Coturnix japonica: one gene and its partners. The protein of the gene in region 2 interacts with the protein of the main gene of each other region in a biochemical or structural test. Links are inferred from orthologs where the notes say so. Each region holds a gene or a part of one and is shown on either strand. Other genes may lie near its edges.

The links.
Region 1: the proteins of HTR2C (region 2) and DLG1 interact in a test that uses a peptide from one of them, tested with the Homo sapiens proteins (2 studies listed by IntAct, with this or other methods). The link is inferred for Coturnix japonica from reciprocal best matches to the Homo sapiens genes HTR2C and DLG1.
Region 3: the proteins of HTR2C (region 2) and SNTA1 interact in a test that uses a peptide from one of them, tested with the Homo sapiens proteins (2 studies listed by BioGRID and IntAct). The link is inferred for Coturnix japonica from reciprocal best matches to the Homo sapiens genes HTR2C and SNTA1.
Region 4: the proteins of HTR2C (region 2) and LIN7C form a complex in vitro, tested with the Homo sapiens proteins (2 studies listed by BioGRID and IntAct, with this or other methods). The link is inferred for Coturnix japonica from reciprocal best matches to the Homo sapiens genes HTR2C and LIN7C.

The regions. Positions count from the first base shown.
Region 1 is NC_029524.1:10,829,498-10,833,783, forward strand, and holds the start of DLG1 (disks large homolog 1), read right to left. Parts: upstream 2,801-4,286; 5' UTR 2,518-2,800; coding exon 2,499-2,517; intron 2,427-2,498; exon of another isoform or gene 2,390-2,426; coding exon 2,258-2,389; intron 1-2,257. UniProt on the Homo sapiens protein: Essential multidomain scaffolding protein required for normal development. Recruits channels, receptors and signaling molecules to discrete plasma membrane domains in polarized cells.
Region 2 is NC_029519.1:2,578,216-2,582,883, reverse strand, and holds the start of HTR2C (5-hydroxytryptamine receptor 2C), read right to left. Parts: upstream 2,957-4,668; 5' UTR 2,200-2,956; intron 1-2,199. UniProt on the Homo sapiens protein: G-protein coupled receptor for 5-hydroxytryptamine (serotonin).
Region 3 is NC_029535.1:2,062,979-2,067,468, reverse strand, and holds the start of SNTA1 (alpha-1-syntrophin), read right to left. Parts: upstream 2,986-4,490; 5' UTR 2,255-2,985; coding exon 1,993-2,254; intron 291-1,992; coding exon 105-290; intron 1-104. UniProt on the Homo sapiens protein: Adapter protein that binds to and probably organizes the subcellular localization of a variety of membrane proteins. May link various receptors to the actin cytoskeleton and the extracellular matrix via the dystrophin glycoprotein complex.
Region 4 is NC_029520.1:3,029,501-3,033,406, reverse strand, and holds part of LIN7C (protein lin-7 homolog C), read left to right. Parts: intron 1-1,484; coding exon 1,485-1,603; intron 1,604-2,622; coding exon 2,623-2,694; intron 2,695-3,033; coding exon 3,034-3,243; intron 3,244-3,906. UniProt on the Homo sapiens protein: Plays a role in establishing and maintaining the asymmetric distribution of channels and receptors at the plasma membrane of polarized cells.

The DNA of each region.
Region 1 (4,286 bases), on a different chromosome or scaffold from region 2:
GTTACTGACTTAAAATTACTGCAGTTATTTCACTTACAGAAATAACACTGATGTGATAACGTCAATTTTGTAACACTGCTCACACCGAGTCGCCACTGCCCTAATTCAAGTCATTTTAAAGCAGACTGTTGTATGTAAGAAACAGGTCAATTTTGCAAGATTTCTGAACTAAAATCTGTTGAAGGAATTAAAGGAAAGTATGTGAGCTTGGACGGAAGCTTCTGTCAGTGCAGCTGTGGATGTTTAAGTTGGAGACACAGCACAATTCCTATAAAAGTCACACCTGAAAAATCAGCTACAAGATAATTACAAGTGCAATATTCAAGGGAAGCCCAACCAGCAGCACAGCTTTGTCCAGCCTGTTCACAAGCCTCCACTGCAAGAGGACAGGTAGGAGGAGGGCAGTTAGTGCTCAAGGGCTTCTCAGCCAACACAGCCATCTCTCACAGCACCTTTTCCTGGCAGCCCCCTACTCCCTGCAGGGAGCTGACCCCCTCCCAGGGGGCACCAAGCAGTAGTCCCAGTGTATAAAGATGTTGCCAGGAGCAGCCTGCCATGAGCAAGTACTTCTCCAACTCATTTCCATGGAGCAGGTTAAAGGAAGAATACTGAAGTTACAGCATCAATTGCTGGGAAGTGACTCTCTGCTATCACATTTCAGAGGAACAGCTTGGAGCACTAAAGCACGCTCCTTAACATACAATCACACAGTTAACCACTAAATGCAAAATGAATGTGAAATGCTCTCAAATAGCACAACACCTATTTGTGCACGCTGAGATCAACTGAACCGGACAGAATCAAAGACCCCACGGCTACAACAGAACTTCTGACAGATCAGAAAACAAGGCATGAAGCCCTCCAGCAGGCACGTGGCAACCCCAATTGAAGAGTGCTACTGCCAAGAGCTAAGTTACACAGACAACCTGGCTCTTGTTACAGATTTTAGAATAAAGTGTGTCTTACAGGTTACAATACCAAAGGCCATTTCCGTACTACTGACTTGTATCTCATTCAATTAATAACTAAGAGCGAGATTTCCCAGGTGAAAATAAGAAGCATAACCACAGTATTAAGCTTCCGATACACAACTTCAATGATTTCATTCAGCAAAGAACAAAGTCTGTTCACACACATCACACAGAGGCGCGCAGATCCTCATCACGGAGCTGCTGAGCATCAACTGAGCTCCTGCAAGTGAACCCTTTCTAGAGGTGTCCTATGAGAACAGACCCATTTGAACAACCATCTATCAGGAACATAATACAGGAGATGTTCCATAAGATGCCCAACTTCTGAAAACCCACCTGCAGATGATACAAATGCTCCAAGAGAAAGCAGTTCATGTGCAGCGATGTTTCAACCCTCCTCATGTTTCCACCACAACACAAAGACACAGCACTATGAAGATGTAAACTTGTGAGATAGGCTTCAAACCATGTAACTGCGAAGTAACAGCTGAAACCCAGACTGTCTACAATGTTAAAACAAAGTTTATGTGCAAGTTACTTTGTTAAAAGGGAAGGGCATGAAACTCCAAGCTGTTACATACGCAGTGACAACCAATCAGGAAGAAACCACAGCTCCCTGCCTCCCTGGAGAAGCTGCAAAGTCAGGTCAGGATTCTGCAAGTTGTGCTCATACCCCACGTGTTTATTTTGCTCTGTTTGTTTTCTAAGAGATGTGCAGGAAATTCAAGGCTTCACGGAATGATTTCAGCAATATTTACATTAATGGCTAAAGAGAAAAAGCACCAGAAGTGCTCTGAAGCTGGGAATGAGTGAGGTTCTCACTGCACTTCACAACCGAAGAGGAAAAAGTCAGCACAGCCACCTGCAACATGAGAAGTTTCCTTCCATTCACTTTAATTCTGCTCCTGAAATACACAACTTGCAGCATTTTTAGGGATCCTTCAGCAGGGAGATTTGCCCGAGTTCTAAGAGTAAAACCACTTCAGCTCACTCATTGTGGACACGTGGGCTCACAACTAAAACATATTCCTAATAAATTGTTTAAACCCACAGAAACAGACGTGGAAAACCCGACTGCACGGCACAGCCCACAACAGACACGTTGCAGCGCCAGGGCAGAAAACTCATACAAAGTAAGTGACAGAAAACAGCTCATTGCAACAGCAACGTGTCAGCGTGATACACACACAGCACTGAGGGACACGAGGGCTCCGACAACACAACAACTCGCTTCCCCTCACCACCAACACACAAGAGCCCGACCCTAGAGGAGGGGCATCGCTCACCGATCAGCGCCTGGAAGAGGTTGCTCTGGAAGATGCCGATGACCCTCTCGATGGAGTTCCGCAGCTGCCGATCCTCCGCCTGGCTCAGTTTGGAGCGATACTCCTGCAGGAGGCGCAGGGCGCGCTGCGTATCTACGGCCGAACACGAGACTCTGTGAGCACTACACAGGTGGGACACGGTGCCCCACGACCACCCCCCGGGACCGCCCCACGCGGCTCCTTTGTCCGGGACCCCGCTCACCTTGTTTCCTGACGGGCATGGCCGCTCCGCCGCCTCAACTTGGAGCCCGACCCGGCTCGGGGCGGCGGCGGCGCGCACCCCCTGCCGGCCGGGAGCGGGGGGGACCGCCCCGCACAGCGACCCTCCGGGGCGGCTCAGCGAGGAGAGGGACGGGTCGGGACCAGCGGTGGGGCGGCTGATAGTAGCCGGGCAGGGCAGGGCGAGCCGCCACCACAACCAGCAGCAGCAGCACAACCACCGCCCGGCTCAGCGCTCGGGAATTCCAAACTTTCCAGCCAAAATGGCGGCCTGGAGGCTGGGGGGAGAGCACCCCCCCTCTCCCACGTGACCGGGCCCGGCTGCCGCCCAATCAGCGCACGGAGCGGCCCGGGGCCGGTACCTAACGGAGGGGCGGGGGGAGGAGGCAAGGTGAGAGGTTCAGTGTGTCCATAGCGCTTAGTGCTCACTGTGTCCATAGCACCTATTGCTCACTATGTCTATGAACTTATTGCTCACTATGTCTATGCACTTATTTCTATGTCTAAAGCACTTCAAAGCCCACGTGCACATCGCGTGTCCCGCAGGCAGAGCTGGGAGTCAGAGCCCATCCCGCTGCTGCCGTTCCCCATCCCAGGCTGCATCTCCTGTTGGTTTTTCGGATACAGACTCGGCTTGGGAACATCCCCGTGGAAGGGAAGAACCTCCTGGGAATGGACGTGGGTTTGATAGTCAAAAACCAGCGCTGAGTTCGGCTGTGGAACACGCCTAAAGGAAACGGACCCAGCACAGAGCTCTGCTCTGATCCAGCCCCGTTCATCCCTCAGCTTTCTGCCATGGAAGAGCCCGTGTAGATCTGTGAAGAAAACAACGTGCATTCAGTGTGTTTTACCAATTTATGGGAACTTTACCAATTCCCGTAGCATCAGGGATCTGGCACTCTCTGGTACAAGTCCACATATCTTATAATGAGACCATATTAAGTGAGGATGGACATTGGCTTCATGTGTTTACAACAACACTGAACGTACTTTAAAAGTGTCCATATTCCCCGTGGTGTCAGAGTTGTACATGTACATGAGGAGAAGAGCAGCCCAGATTGAGCCAGCAGAAAGGAGATATCCACGCAGTGAGGTTGGTTTGTTGTCTGACAAAAACATTTATTACAGAGCGAAAAATGAATAAACACTTGCAATTAAATGAACTGAATAAGTTCTTCTTAATCAGGACTTGAATGCTTTTTCAGTGTTAAGATGGAATCCCATAACGCAAGGTCATTGTGGGGATAGAGGAATAATCCCATCTAACACCCTCAGATGGCGTTTCTCACTTGTCACTCATGCACCAGAAAAAGGAAAAAATAAAGATCAAAGAAGGGTCAGGATGAAGGATCAGTGAGTCAGGAAGCAATTAGGTGGGCCCTAATGCACTTCCAATTGGGGCTGGTCCTAGTGCTGCTATTTCAGTTCCAGGGGATATTTGTTGATTCCGAGTGGTTGAACCAGAGCTCATGGTATGAAACTTTAGAATATGGTTTGGAAATTCCAGCACGTATAGAAAATACCCTATGAATGCAAACAGCCCTTTCACCAATACACTGCAGTAAGGGTCTGTTGTAGAGCTGCCCTTAGTTCCATACCTTCTTTTTGGGGCTCCAGCCCTAAGGAAATTGTGTCATTCACACAGAGCAGGGGGAAGTGGGGCAATAACCGAAGGATCATTTATGCTACTGCTCAAGCAACATCATTTAAATCAAACTATTATAGGCAGCATTCAGAAAGGCTTGTGCTGCAATTGCGACTGATGCAATGA
Region 2 (4,668 bases):
ACATGAACAAGCTCCAACACTGTGTTGCTTTAGCAAAAGTACTTGATGAAAAATGCACTTGCTGGAACAGGGGCACAAGAACAGCCAAAACTGCTGCTGGCCAGCAAGCACCAAATTTGTTCTGAATTTTGTAAGCATGTTTGCGAGAAACGCTGTGCTTTAATTCAGCCAGCTCTAATCACCATTCTGCCTGGCTGCAAATAGCAATAAGTAGGATGACTCCCATATAATCTCTCTAGTGTTTCCTGCAGAGGTAATTTGGTTATTTAATGCTCATCGTATTTCATAAACGCATTTTTATAGAGAAGCCATTCAGATGGCTTTATACCAGCACTACACTGCTGAGATTCTCCACTGGGTGTTCACACATTCATATTTCCACCTCTGAGTGAAACCAGGAGATTTTTCTCCCATTTGCAGGAGATGTGTGCGTTGCTATGGAGCGCTGCTGCCCAGCTCTGCCTCCTTCTTGGGAAGCAAGGAGCACCCCTTCGCAGGACAGAGTGGAGCAGCTGCTCCCCAAGCACCACTGCAGCCTCCATCCCTTGGGTTCTGGCTTCTGGTGTCATAGAAGCAGCAAAGCCACCAGACCACTCCTGCTGCTCCACCACCAACACAGAGGCCCTGCAGAGCAGCAGAGGTCTTTCCCAACAGATCCCAAAGGAGGCTCCACAAATATCTTCTTCTTGAAAAAAGAGCATGTTCTTTCCTGCATTTGGCCCCAGTTTGCTGATAAGAAGGGGAGAATTTCCTGAGCCTTCCCTGTGAGATGAGCTAGAGATGATTTGAGCACGGCAGAACAGTCTTGGGAAGTTCAGGAGGCATCAACAAATGCTCTGAGCTACCAGCTCAGGTGGCAACTCAGTCAGGAAACCCAAAGATAACAACAGTGACTAAAACATTTACAGCGAACATGACAATCCTGCCCTTTCTCCCCTGCAAAGAGTGCAGTTATAACACATTTGTTCTGCTACAATGCCACAGAAACACTTCTGGAACAGTTTCACAGCAGTGGCACCATTGGCCGTGCTGTTTCCATAGACCTGCAATGCCAGGAATGCGCACAAGCCTCTCACCATGTGACATAAGCACATAACCCAGGCAGTGCCCACCCATTCCACATGGTCAGGTCTCATTGGCAAGCTCTGTGATCACTTGCTCATAAACCAACATGCAAACACACACACATACAAGTTAGCCATGAACACTGGTATCAAATTGGTATCAAATCAGTACCCAGTGCACACCACTCTGCTTTTTCCAGGGGAAAATGTCTGAGAACTTCCCTTTCAGCTCAGTCTTTACAGAGAAAAGCACACACTGGCAGTCTCACGAGAAGGCAGAATGAATGGTCTGATGGTGAGAGAGGCACAGCCTGGGCTGCTGCTGGTCTTGAGAGAGACTCCTCAAGAAGGCACCATCCTTAGCAAGCCTGGGGAAACCTGATGTTGAAATTTGTTGGCATTAGCAGATTTTCCTCCTTAGCTATTGGTACAAAAATTATAATAATCATTTTAAAATAGCTTCAACTGAACGCTGCAGGTAGTAAAGCGGTTAGCAGAGATGAACAGAGCTCCTCTTCACAGAGCTGGGATAGCAAAGCACAAATCAGACTCAGACAACTCCTAAAACGCATTTCTTTCTCTGCTTCCAAGTACCAAAATCATCCCTTTGAACCTTCAAATCCCCTCTCCCTCAGTGCAGAGCACCTCCTTTTCCCTGTTGGTGTAATCTCACTCCTCCAGAAAACATTGTCTCCCTGCCAGCAACACTTTGTCTCCATGTGGACGTCCACCATCCTCCCCACATCCACAGGAGCAAAATTGAGGGACCTGTAGAGTGCACTGTATGCCTGCACCTGAACCAAACATAACCCCGTGTGCTGCAGCCAGCCCCTTCCAAAGGTCGTGTCAGGAAGCAGCAGAGCTCCCAGGTGCATTTCACAGACCAAAGCAAGTTTGTTCCAATTAAGCGCAACAACTTTATTGCCAGGCATGAAAGGTATCCCTGAGGATACCCGACACTCTCCCTTCCTGCTGCAAGCACAAAAAACACAGACACATATTTCCGTCCAGCTTTAGGCTGCAAACTGAAGCTGTTTCCCACTGAAATGCATTTTGACAGCATAGCCCAGGACGAAAAGGGAACTGTATCCCACAGATAAAGCTCACGGCGCATTGCACAGGGAGCAGCACCTACCTCACTGAGCCAGCAGAGCCTGCAGGTCAACATAATTCCTCATGGATGGAGATATTCACCCCAGCCCTAGGAGCAGGGGCTCTGCTGCCATGCCCAGCACCTCGGACACACCAAGAAAGCATCTTCTGCAAGCAGCGCAGCTCCTGACACACACCGAGCAGCAGTGGCGGCGGCAGCCTGGGAAAGCAGCAGCAGTTGAATTGCTGCACATGTATCTCTGCAGATTATTTCCTGCTTGAACACTTAGCGTAAAGGCAGATGCTCTTAACCCTCTGGAGGCCTCCGACTCTGTCCTCCACTGGCAGGGGCAAACAAAATACTCCAAATACTCCGTAGCGAGGCTGGAGGGAAACAGGTGGAAATGCACAGGACATCCTCCGAGAAGCAGTCCTAACCTGGAGTTACTTGCAGTCACTTTGGGAGCCAAGCAATCCCACGGAAGCCCACAGCATCCCCTGGCAGGCACCGCACAGCTCCCACCGCATCACCCCAGCACCGGCAGAACACACAGCTCCCGGAGGGGCCAGAACGTCAGAGGACACAGCCAAAGACAAGGTGAGGAGGTGAGGGATACAGCGGTGTCACTGACACTGGGGCACACGGGGCTCCTGCCCCCAGCACACAGCTCCGTCGTCCATCAGCCGCAGGCGCCCACAGCGTGGGCAAGCACACACTGTCCTGCCGGCACAAACAGCGCTCAGCCGGGGAGCTTCAGCGCTGCTCCCTCTCTCTCACAAGCTGCGAATGTGACTGGAAAGCATGGCTGAAAAACATGCTACAATTAACAGGAGGGAGGGGGATACTATTGCTCTCCTGCTAGTCTTAAAGGCACATTGCTCACACGAGCCTGCTGGAGATGCGGATGCCTGCAGCTCCCACCCGGTGCCTCAGCCAGAGCCCAGAAGGAGCTCTGTTGGCTCAGGGCAAGGAGACAGCCCACAGGGAAGGAAAGAGCCCCTCAGCCTGGAGGGGAAGGAATAGCAGGCCTAGCCCCAGATCTCCCACATCAGGGCTCAGAAATGAGGCCTCCCTCATCTCCAGGATCCAGCTGTGGCACTGTCACCCAGCAGGGATGCTTGCCCCGGTCCCAGCACAGCACAGCTGTCACTACATCACACACATCCCTGTCCCACACACATACAGCCACTGTCCCTGCCTGCACCCTACAGGGCAAGGAGAACACATAGCATCCCATGATCTGGTACCCTTCTTCTGGACCTGGCACAGTGCAATCAGCAGTGCTGCTCCCCATAGAGATACCTGCAGCACCAGCAGGTGCAGCTCTGCACCCTGATGCCATGCATAACAGATCTCCCTTCTGTAATACCTCTCTGAGCTGTGAGACACCTCAACATGCTGCTCAGGCTGCAATGAGCACAGCAGGTCTCAGCCTGGCCACAACATCTGCTGCTGCAGCCATCTCCCACCCACAGCCCAGCAGGGCACTAGCCAAAGGCCTCACTGTGCTGATAACCTCTCTGCATTCTTTCAGACATCATTTTGCACTTCAGTGCATCAAGACATTCACTCCAACACATCCAGTCTTTCCCACCCCTGCAGCAGTAGTATCTGAAACACCCCTTACAAGTCTGCCAAATAGGGAAATTGCCCTATTAGAGATGTGCATTTACATTTCCTCAGCATTTTCCAGGCAGGACTGAGCCGGTTGAAGCTCTGGACCTGGTTGAACTGCCTTGAGTCACACAAGGTCACATTAATGCCTTGGATTCTCCAAGCCCACTGCAGGTCCCAAATTAACTCGACTGCTACCTTCTTTCATTATCATTAGCAGCAGCGTAGACAATTTAACCTTAGCAATGACAAGACAAATTACTATGGTGAAGCAGCTCCAAGTTAAGCACAGTTTAACTCCAGGCTTCTCTGAAAAGCTGTCTGATAGAAAAGGAGCAGACCTCATACTTTTGGCACAGAGTCAGTGAAATGTTACCTGACGCAAATACACAGCGCAGCATAACAAATAGCTGCTTTCCTGTAGCGCTTGTGCAGAAGGTCTATTAAAATGCAATCATTCAGTGAGACAAATTCCACACAAAATATCACTGCTTCCAGGCCACGCAGCTTTGTGCAAAAAATACCATGGGGAATGAGTTCAAGTTTTTCTTTATTAATCACAAGTGTCTTAAAGAGAAGCGAGCCTTTTTGACACCAGAGCTACAAAACATGCATAAGTAGTCATCAAAATGCTGGCAGAGACACTTAAGGCTTTACACTCTTAAAGATTTTCCCCTGCGTATCAAAGTTCAAGTTTGCTCCACAGAGCACAGCTGAGGGTTTCTCAAGTATAAGGCTTCATGAACTGTGTCTGATTAGCATGCAAACACAGCACAGTGACTACCAGCACATCCTCACAGGGATCTGTCCTGAAGTGCAGCAGAATAGAAAGAAATACCTCACTATGTACATTGCTTATTTTTATTATTATTAAGCTCAGGACCCCACTGATCAATC
Region 3 (4,490 bases), on a different chromosome or scaffold from region 2:
TCCAGCTGAGGAGGAGGATTGAAATGGAAGTTCAGAGCCTGGAGCAGAGGACATTAAGGTACCCACAGGGTGTACATAAGCAGGGCACCCCGCTGCCCCCATACCTTCCAGCACCACCTCTTTGCCCGTTTTCTTCAGTGCCTGCACCGCCTCGTCGTGAGTGGCTTCGGATAAGTCAGTGCCATTCACGGACAGGATGGCATCTCCCACATACAGTGCCTCGGTCTGGTCTGCTGCCAGTCCCTTGAAGATCTTGGAGATGAGGATGGGCATCTTGTTCTCCCGGCCACCTGCGGGCAGAAGGGGCACCAAGCAGTGAGGGGACACTGAGCAATTAGGGGCACAGGGCTGCTCAGTGCCCACACAGTGCCCAAATACCTCAGAGCTTTATGGCAGACACATGTTAAGTGCTTCAAAAAACCATCCGAGTGGCTGCAGATTTCCTTGCTGAACAAACACACGCCCTGACCGCCTCCCCATCACTTCTGGCAGGAAACTGTGTCACTATTTGCATTATTAACTGTGTGTGCTGAGCAGCCTTCCCTGCTCTCAGGACCCCACGGTCTCAGTGGGGCAGCAGCTGAGTGCTGGAGAGGCAAAAGAGCCCCAGAGCAGCAGCTCAGCCGCAGGACTACCTGCTCCCCACTCCTCTCTGTCTCCATTCGGGCTGCTCCCCACTCTTCAGCCCACCAGGACACTCTCAAGGCCTCCGGGCAGCTCAAGGAGATCAATTTGCACTTTAAGTTCTGAACCTGTAGGAGATGCCAGCAGCCCCGCCTGGCGCTGCCCACGCTCAGCGCTGGGACAGCGTGTGCCGGGCACCCCCTCACTCCCCCCTACCCCCCTCCCACGGGCAGGGACCGGCAGCGTGACACCTCCCAGGGCTGCACCCGCTGTGCCGCCAGCATTGCTCCGCTCGGATTTCTGCAGAGCCTCTCCGGGAGCTGAGGGCTCCTCCGGCTATCAGCTGTCAAGAGGCCCCCGCGGGGGCTGCTGCTGGCTGCCGAGCCCAGCTTGGAAGCAACGCCTCGCAACCACCCATTCTGGGCTGTGTGCGTGGAGAGGGAACCACCGCCCGGAGCACCATGCGGTACACGACCCTGCAGGAGAAGGATCCTAACCCTAACCCTAACGATGCTAACCCTAACCCTGCAGGGCTGCATGAAGCACCAGAAACCCCAAGTGAAGTACTGTCTGGGGTTAGGATGCAGCTGAAATGCTTTAACCAGAAGGTCCATTTTAGATTCTGTCCCACGGGCCATGGACAGGAGCTGGCTGGCAGCGGGGTACCCGTCCCTCCATGCCCCCACCCCCTGCAGGGACAGCAAGGTTTGGCTGCGTTTAATGGCACATGGTCACCCCCCTGCAAAGCAGCAGAGGCACAAGGCAGCCCAAGTGCTGCCCGCCCGCCTGCAGCTCCCCGTTTGGATCACGGCTCCTTGGTTTCCACCTACGTCACTGCAAAAATAAAGTTTAGCTGAAGCAAGTAACGTTTCTCCTTTCCTGGGAGAGCCGCAGAGCCGGCAGCGCTTCGCAGCCCGGGGTTGGTTACAAGGGGGGATTGCACCTCCCAAAAGCGCTGCCGAGCTGCAGCACCCACAGCCCCAACAAGCGGTGAGGGCTCACCCCGGACCCCTCACGGGGACCCGCACCCGACACACCGCCCCACCCAGCAGCGCCCGGCAAGGAGCGCGGTGAAGGCTGAGCCCAATGCGGCCACGTCAGACAGCGGCAGCCCCCCGCACCCCCCCTCGCGAAGTTCCCGGCCCGAAGTTCCCGCAAAGTCCCCAGGACGGGGGTGGGGGCGGCGGGGGACACCGGGGGACACCCGACCGGGGCAGAGCGCTGCGTTTGGGGCGGCCAGGAGGGGACACCGCACCGGGGTCACGCAGGACGCAAGGACACGCGGGCGGAGCCCTCCGGTCGCAGCAGGGCAGCGTAGGTCCTACCTGCCGCCGCCGCCGCCCACTCCTGGTACTCCCCCCCCCTCACCTTTGATGCTGATGCCGAGCCCCCCCACGTCCTGTTTGACGACGCGCACCGTGCGCCTGATGTTGGCGAGCGCCTCGGGCACGCCGGAGCTCTGCTCCCCTCCGTTCAGCTGAGCCGGCGGAGGCTCCCCGGGCCCGGGGCCGTCGGCGGGGCTGACGCTCAGGGTGTCATCGCTCAGGGTGAGCAGGACGCGAAGCCACTGTCCGCCGGGACCGCGCAGCTCCAGCAGCCCGCTGCGCGCCCCTCGCCTGCCCGCCGCCATCTTCCGCGCATGCCGGGCCCGGCCCCGCCGCTCCGGCAGCTCCGCTCCGCGCTGCCCCGCGCACCGCCCGGCGGAGCAACGAGCCCCGCGCACCGCCCCCGGCCCGGCCCACGCCCGCCCCGTCGGGGCAGCGCCGCGCTGCGGGGCTCCGTGCCCGAGTATGGGACGGGGAGCGCCGGGAGGGGCATGGGGAGCTCTGCACACCCTCACTCGGACCCTCCCGGCTCCGGGCACCGCGGTGCGGTTGTGTCACAGGGGGACCCTGCGGGGCACGTCGGGGCGCAGCGGTGTCCGTGCCGAGAACCGGGTGCCACGAAAGCTTCGGGCGTGCTGCGGGGTACACGAGTAACTGCTGTCGTGGAAGCGAGCAGCGCTGTCAGGCAGAGCCAGAAGTGACTCGAAGCGAACTCTGGACTTATTAAGGAAAACTGCGATGATGAAAAGCAATGGCAGCTCTTGGGGGCGGTGGGGGGCAGCCTCAAGAGCTCTCCCACTGGCGTCCGACGACGTCGGTGCCCCAAAGATGGGTGCAGACAGCAGCAGGGAGGATTTTTGGAGGCATTCAGAACAGTCTTGCTTTTTTTCTTTCCTTTCCCTGTCCTGCTTCTTGAAAACAGGAACGGTGTTTGTTTCCTTTGGCAGATCCGCATTTCCTCCTGCAACCGAGTGGCAGCAATGAGGGATAAAAAATACCTCTGGGTACATCCCCTGTGCCCCTTCGGGCAGCTCCAGAGCCCTGGGGTGGGGCTGCAGGTCCCCAAGCCCCAGGCTCTGCAAACGCAGCCTTAAAGGAATTGAATCCCGTTCACGCACAAGGGGAGGTGGGGGGGGTATTGCAGAGCAGGGGGCTGCAGCCCTCCCCACCCCCACACGGAGGCAGCAGCGCTCCCCCCACGCAGAGGCAGCTGTGGAATTTCTTGAGATTGCGGCAGAGGAAACCCTGAAGGTTTTTCCCTTGCAAAGCACAGCTCAGATATTCCAGTTTTCAATCCAAATTCTGCAGTTCGATTGGAGTGACTTTTTGGGTTTGCCTAACAGTGATGCTCCCACGCCCATCACACCCCCCCCTCCCCCCCCCCAGTCCTCTGTGCATCCCACAGACCCTGAGCTGCTGTGCCCATAGCAGAGGGGGTTCAGTCCTTTTGCTGCCAGTTGGGGTCACTTTGCCCCTTGCCACTCGCAGTCTTTTTTCTTTCCAATGCTATTTCCAGCACAGGTGATTATTAAGGCTGTATTCTCATTGTAAGCCACGTCAGAAAGCAGAGACACTGCTCCCAGTGCCACAGGATGGCACCATCCAGGGATATGTGATATGTTTGCTTCCCCAGCCCTGGCAGCACTATGCAAAGCAGCAGTGGGAAGCAGAGCAGTGCCACACAGGGGGAAACCTTGTGCCATGCCACACTGCTGGGCAGCAAGGCCATGTGTGCAGCCCCACATCATGGCACAGAGGTGCTGCAGTGCCCGTGGGATGGTGATATCTTCACTGTGATTCTGTCACAAGGCTGAGCCCATCCCATCCTCCCCCTGCAGAACATCCCCGCTCCCGGACGTGGTGGGTGAGCTGCTATTATTAGCTTCAGCTCTTGGCACACACAGGAGCTGTGTCAAAGCCCACCCGTCTATTTATAGAGCGCTGTTAGCTGCGTGAATTTACATGAATCACTTCTGAAACAGAAGAAAAGCTCGTGTTTGGGTCTGAAGTGGCATCCCCAAGGCTGACAGCAGCACCTCAGGAGAGCATGGGGCAGCAGGTCCTGCCTTGCTGAAACAGATCAGAGGCTGCAAATGCACTGGAGAGGATGGGCAGGGAAATAAAAGAGATTCAGATGTGCACCATGTACTTAACCGAGTGATTCATCCCCTGGTATACAGGAAATGTAGTGAAATGGTGTTGTCTGCCCAAACTGTGCAGTCTCCGACTCCTCCAGTTGACTTTAAAATGTTTTGCTTTGGGACACAGTCACTCCTGGCCGAGTTTCTCCCTTCTCAGTCTGGGTTCTGCTCTCTGGATCCCCATAAGACAGCCACACCAGCTGAGCTCTGTGCTGTGGAAGCGCTTTGCTGCTGCACAGCAGATGGGTTATCAAGGCTGGATGAGTGCTGTCAAAGAAACAGGAAAAAGAAGCACCTGGGGACTGAGATAGGTGTGGGGAAAGCAGGAGCTGGGGGATGCAGCAGGGTGAGCTCAGCCCTGCCAGCAATGCTGTGCAACCTGCAATGGAAGATGCCATGC
Region 4 (3,906 bases), on a different chromosome or scaffold from region 2:
CACCTCTGCTGTCTTTCATTTCACCAAACGTTTTGTGAGCCAAATTCAATGCCAAATGTGTGTTGGGAAATCAAAAGCATTTTTTTCATTCTGTAATTTTTGTACAGATTGCAAGTATGCAGCAAACACAGCAGACTTGGAGTTAGCAATAGCCGGGGTTTCAAATGTGATGCGTATTTGCTTAGATACCTGATCCTCTTAACAAATTGAAAATGCTTCCTAAATAGTGAGGATGAACTTGAGCTCTCATCTGAAGCAATGCGTGCGACTGCAACTGTAATATTCGGGTGCTGTTCCATGAGTGATTTACATCCTGTCTGTGATACAAACACAGCTTTAACTGTGCTGGTGGATGACCAGTTCAAGAAGTTACATCATACCATCTTTAAATGACTCTAGCGGCTGCTATGAGTGTCTGCGAGATATCTAACTGATGCCTTACAGAAGTGGGCAGCATGAACTGTGGGTTGTCTTCTGTCAGTGCACCTCAATTTCGGAGTGTAACAAGATAGACATTGGTCTTGAAGTTTGTGGTGGCTGCTTGTCTATTTAGTGGCATTACAGCAGCACAGAAGATGTTCCACGTGAAAAATGATTCCCTGAAGGTTAATTATGGAAAAGAGGAAGTAATGTATTTAGGACATAATCATGCTCCAGACTTCATCTTCTAGAATGATCTATGCCTTATTTATGCGGTAGATTAATCACTGCTTCTGTCTGCCTTTCTGATAACGAAGATCATAATGTCTACCTGCTTTTCTGAGAGACTGTTCTACTGCTATTCATGGACTTAACGTGATTCAGAAGAATGGTCACTCTAGAAATGTAAGTGAGGAATATTAATCCTTGCTACTCTTGAAGAGCTGCCTGCAGAACGCCGCATAGCTTTGATGCCATGTTTGATGCCCATCTTGCTCGGTACTGGTCTGAAATCAAATTCTTCAGATGAAATTTTGGTTTCACTGATAGTTTTGGTCTTTCAGGACATGTCAAGAAATGAGGAAAAAATGTTGAGTTTGGGGATCTTTACTACAGAACACTCAGCAGAGATCGTGGAGGAATTTGGGTTCTTTTTCCTAGCGCTTTGATACATCAGGCACATTGTAGGTGGAGGAAGTAAGAAAGTATTTTCAAACTGCTATGAGGTTTAATCAAGTTTTTACCATTCCAGCTGCTGTTTGGCATCCAATTAATATAATTACAGACTACTCATGCCCAAGTCAGCCTTTTTTGTAGGGAAAACATTGGGTGTATTTCTGGTAAACTAGTTTTTGAATGTAAAAGGTATGTTAGTTTGCTTGGTGATACTATAGATTGCTTTGACAAAATGATAGCCATACATTACATAAATTACGGAGTTTTATGCATACAAAACAGTGCTACCGCATTAACTTTGTTTAAAAAGCAAAAGCAAACAAAGCCACCAGTAGGATCTTTTCAGGCATTGCTCATAATGAACACTTCATTTTTGTTTTTTTCTGTAGATATCTGCAGAGCAATTGAATTGCTGGAAAAATTACAGAGAAGTGGAGAAGTGCCACCGCAGAAACTACAGGCTTTGCAAAGGGTCCTTCAGAGTGAATTCTGTAATGCTGTAAGGGAGGTAAGTTAACTGTGTAAGCAATTAGCTTGCATTAAAAGTGGTACCTTGAAAAGTGGAAGTGTTAATGCACTGAACTTCAAAAAACTGAATTTGACTTATGGAGCTTTATAGAAGACGGCTTATTTTTTACAAGTTGAGAAGAAAACAGTTTAGGGGTACTATAGGTGTGTTGTATTAAACAGTATCTGATAAACAAATTACTTCTTGGAGGTTATTTGGAGGTTATCTAGCTGCCTTGCTGGCAGGTAGTGCCCTGTTATCCTGTTGGCTGGTAAGAACGGGCAAAGTATAAATTGCCTTTTCTTTTAAGCTAGATTGGCATCATAGCTTTGCACACCTCATCTTCGTTCCTGATGCTCTTTCAGTAATTTGAGATGATTGAATGCATCCTCCTGTTGGTGGCGGTGATGGTGCTACCACTGCTGATAACACCTGCAACAATTTGCAAGATCTGTTTGTGGACGTGGAAGTCCTCTTGATGTTTTCATCTTATGAAGGACTGCGTTTGTTGTGTTAGCTACCACTAACCCAGTTAGCATTAGTATTCTTATGGCCTTTGTGTTTTCAATAGCCTTTATTTTCATTATGTATTCAGTTGGTTGCATCAGGTGAAGGGAAATACAGATTTGATTGTTGGGTGAGCTTTGAAGATCCACCCTTGCATAATTTTTCATGCACCCTTATGGAAAAGTCCAATTAAATCAAATATGAGAAGTTAGTCACCCACATCTGCTGTCAGATGTTGTGGTGAGGTCTGTATACTTACTGAGTGAGAGGATTTGGGTTGAGACCTAGAATGTGTGTGGCTTATCTGAGCAGTAAAGATATTGAGAGAGTTGTTTCTTCATAGTATGGTAGATACTTTACTTGGCACCTTGCAGTGAATCAGGGAGTCATTTGCTAAAGGTGTTTGGTTTGGTTTTTTTCATGTATGCAGTTTTAAGTTGTAACTGATTGTTATGTTACCTAAGCAGAAAAATAACTCTTTTCACCGTGCTTAAGTTGTCTTATCTTTAAAGGTGTACGAACACGTATATGAAACTGTGGATATCAGCAGTAGCCCAGAAGTGAGAGCTAATGCAACAGCGAAGGTAAACGCCAAACTTGAGTAAAATGTGTTAATTTGTTACTTTAGAAGCAGAGGAAAGGTATTTAAAATCCAGAAATGTATTATCTAGATGTTTGGTCAAATAGATAAACATATGAGGTCATTAAAAGGGATAACAAAAGACATTTTTTAAAAGTTTTTTCCACTTATATTGTCTTCGTTGAGTTCTAATTTTTTTTTTAATCCCGATGTTGTTTAAGAAATTGATCTGATTATTCTTAATATTTTAGCACTTTAAGATGAAACTAATTTTTCAGCCTGCTCACTGTGTCAAGCTGAGGAGTTTGTAGTCGTGTAAATAGCAAGATCTTATTTTTTACAGGCCACTGTAGCTGCATTTGCTGCTAGTGAAGGTCATTCGCATCCCAGAGTGGTTGAACTGCCAAAAACCGAAGAAGGTCTTGGATTCAACATCATGGGAGGCAAAGAACAAAATTCTCCCATCTATATCTCCCGAATTATCCCTGGTGGTATAGCTGATAGGCACGGAGGCCTGAAACGTGGAGACCAGCTCCTTTCTGTAAACGGAGTGGTAGGAATTTTTTCACTTTCTATAGCAGTAACTACTTGTCTCCACTTGGGGGCATACGTAGAATATTCGTGGCACAAGCTTGAGGTTGTCTTTCGATCCTAGCAAAACTGCTTCTTATTGTCCTCTCAAGAACATCTTCCTTAGGTTTCTGAACCTAGTTCTGTGCAGTGAGAGTTCTTGGATTATGCTTTGGTTACATTTTTCAACTGGGATGGGTACTATTTATGTCAACGTTTCAAATTCTGAAAAGTTGTATAAATCTGGTAGGTCTTGTTCTGAAATAGTATTGAACTACCATTATGGCTTCCTGTTTTATCCAATTTGATGATGCAGGTTTTAACTTAGTTTTCTGCAGCTTCAAAGGTAAGTAGTAAATTATAATGCATGATGGTAGACTGAGCAGGGGCTCTTTGTCATTATCCCAGTAGGAGCACTACTGCTTAATGAAAGCTGTAGAAAGATGGAAAAACAAGGTGGTGTTATCTTCAGTTATCTTTACTTAAGTGCTATAAGCTTCAAAACCAAGATTTATGTTTTAAGGAGTGTGTGTCTGAGGTGCTGTTGGAGGTATTTATTTTTAACAGGTATCCTCTTCTGCTGAGTTGCAATACAAAAAGAAAAACAGAATGACTGGGAAGAGGAGGCTATGGGCAGGCTTTGATT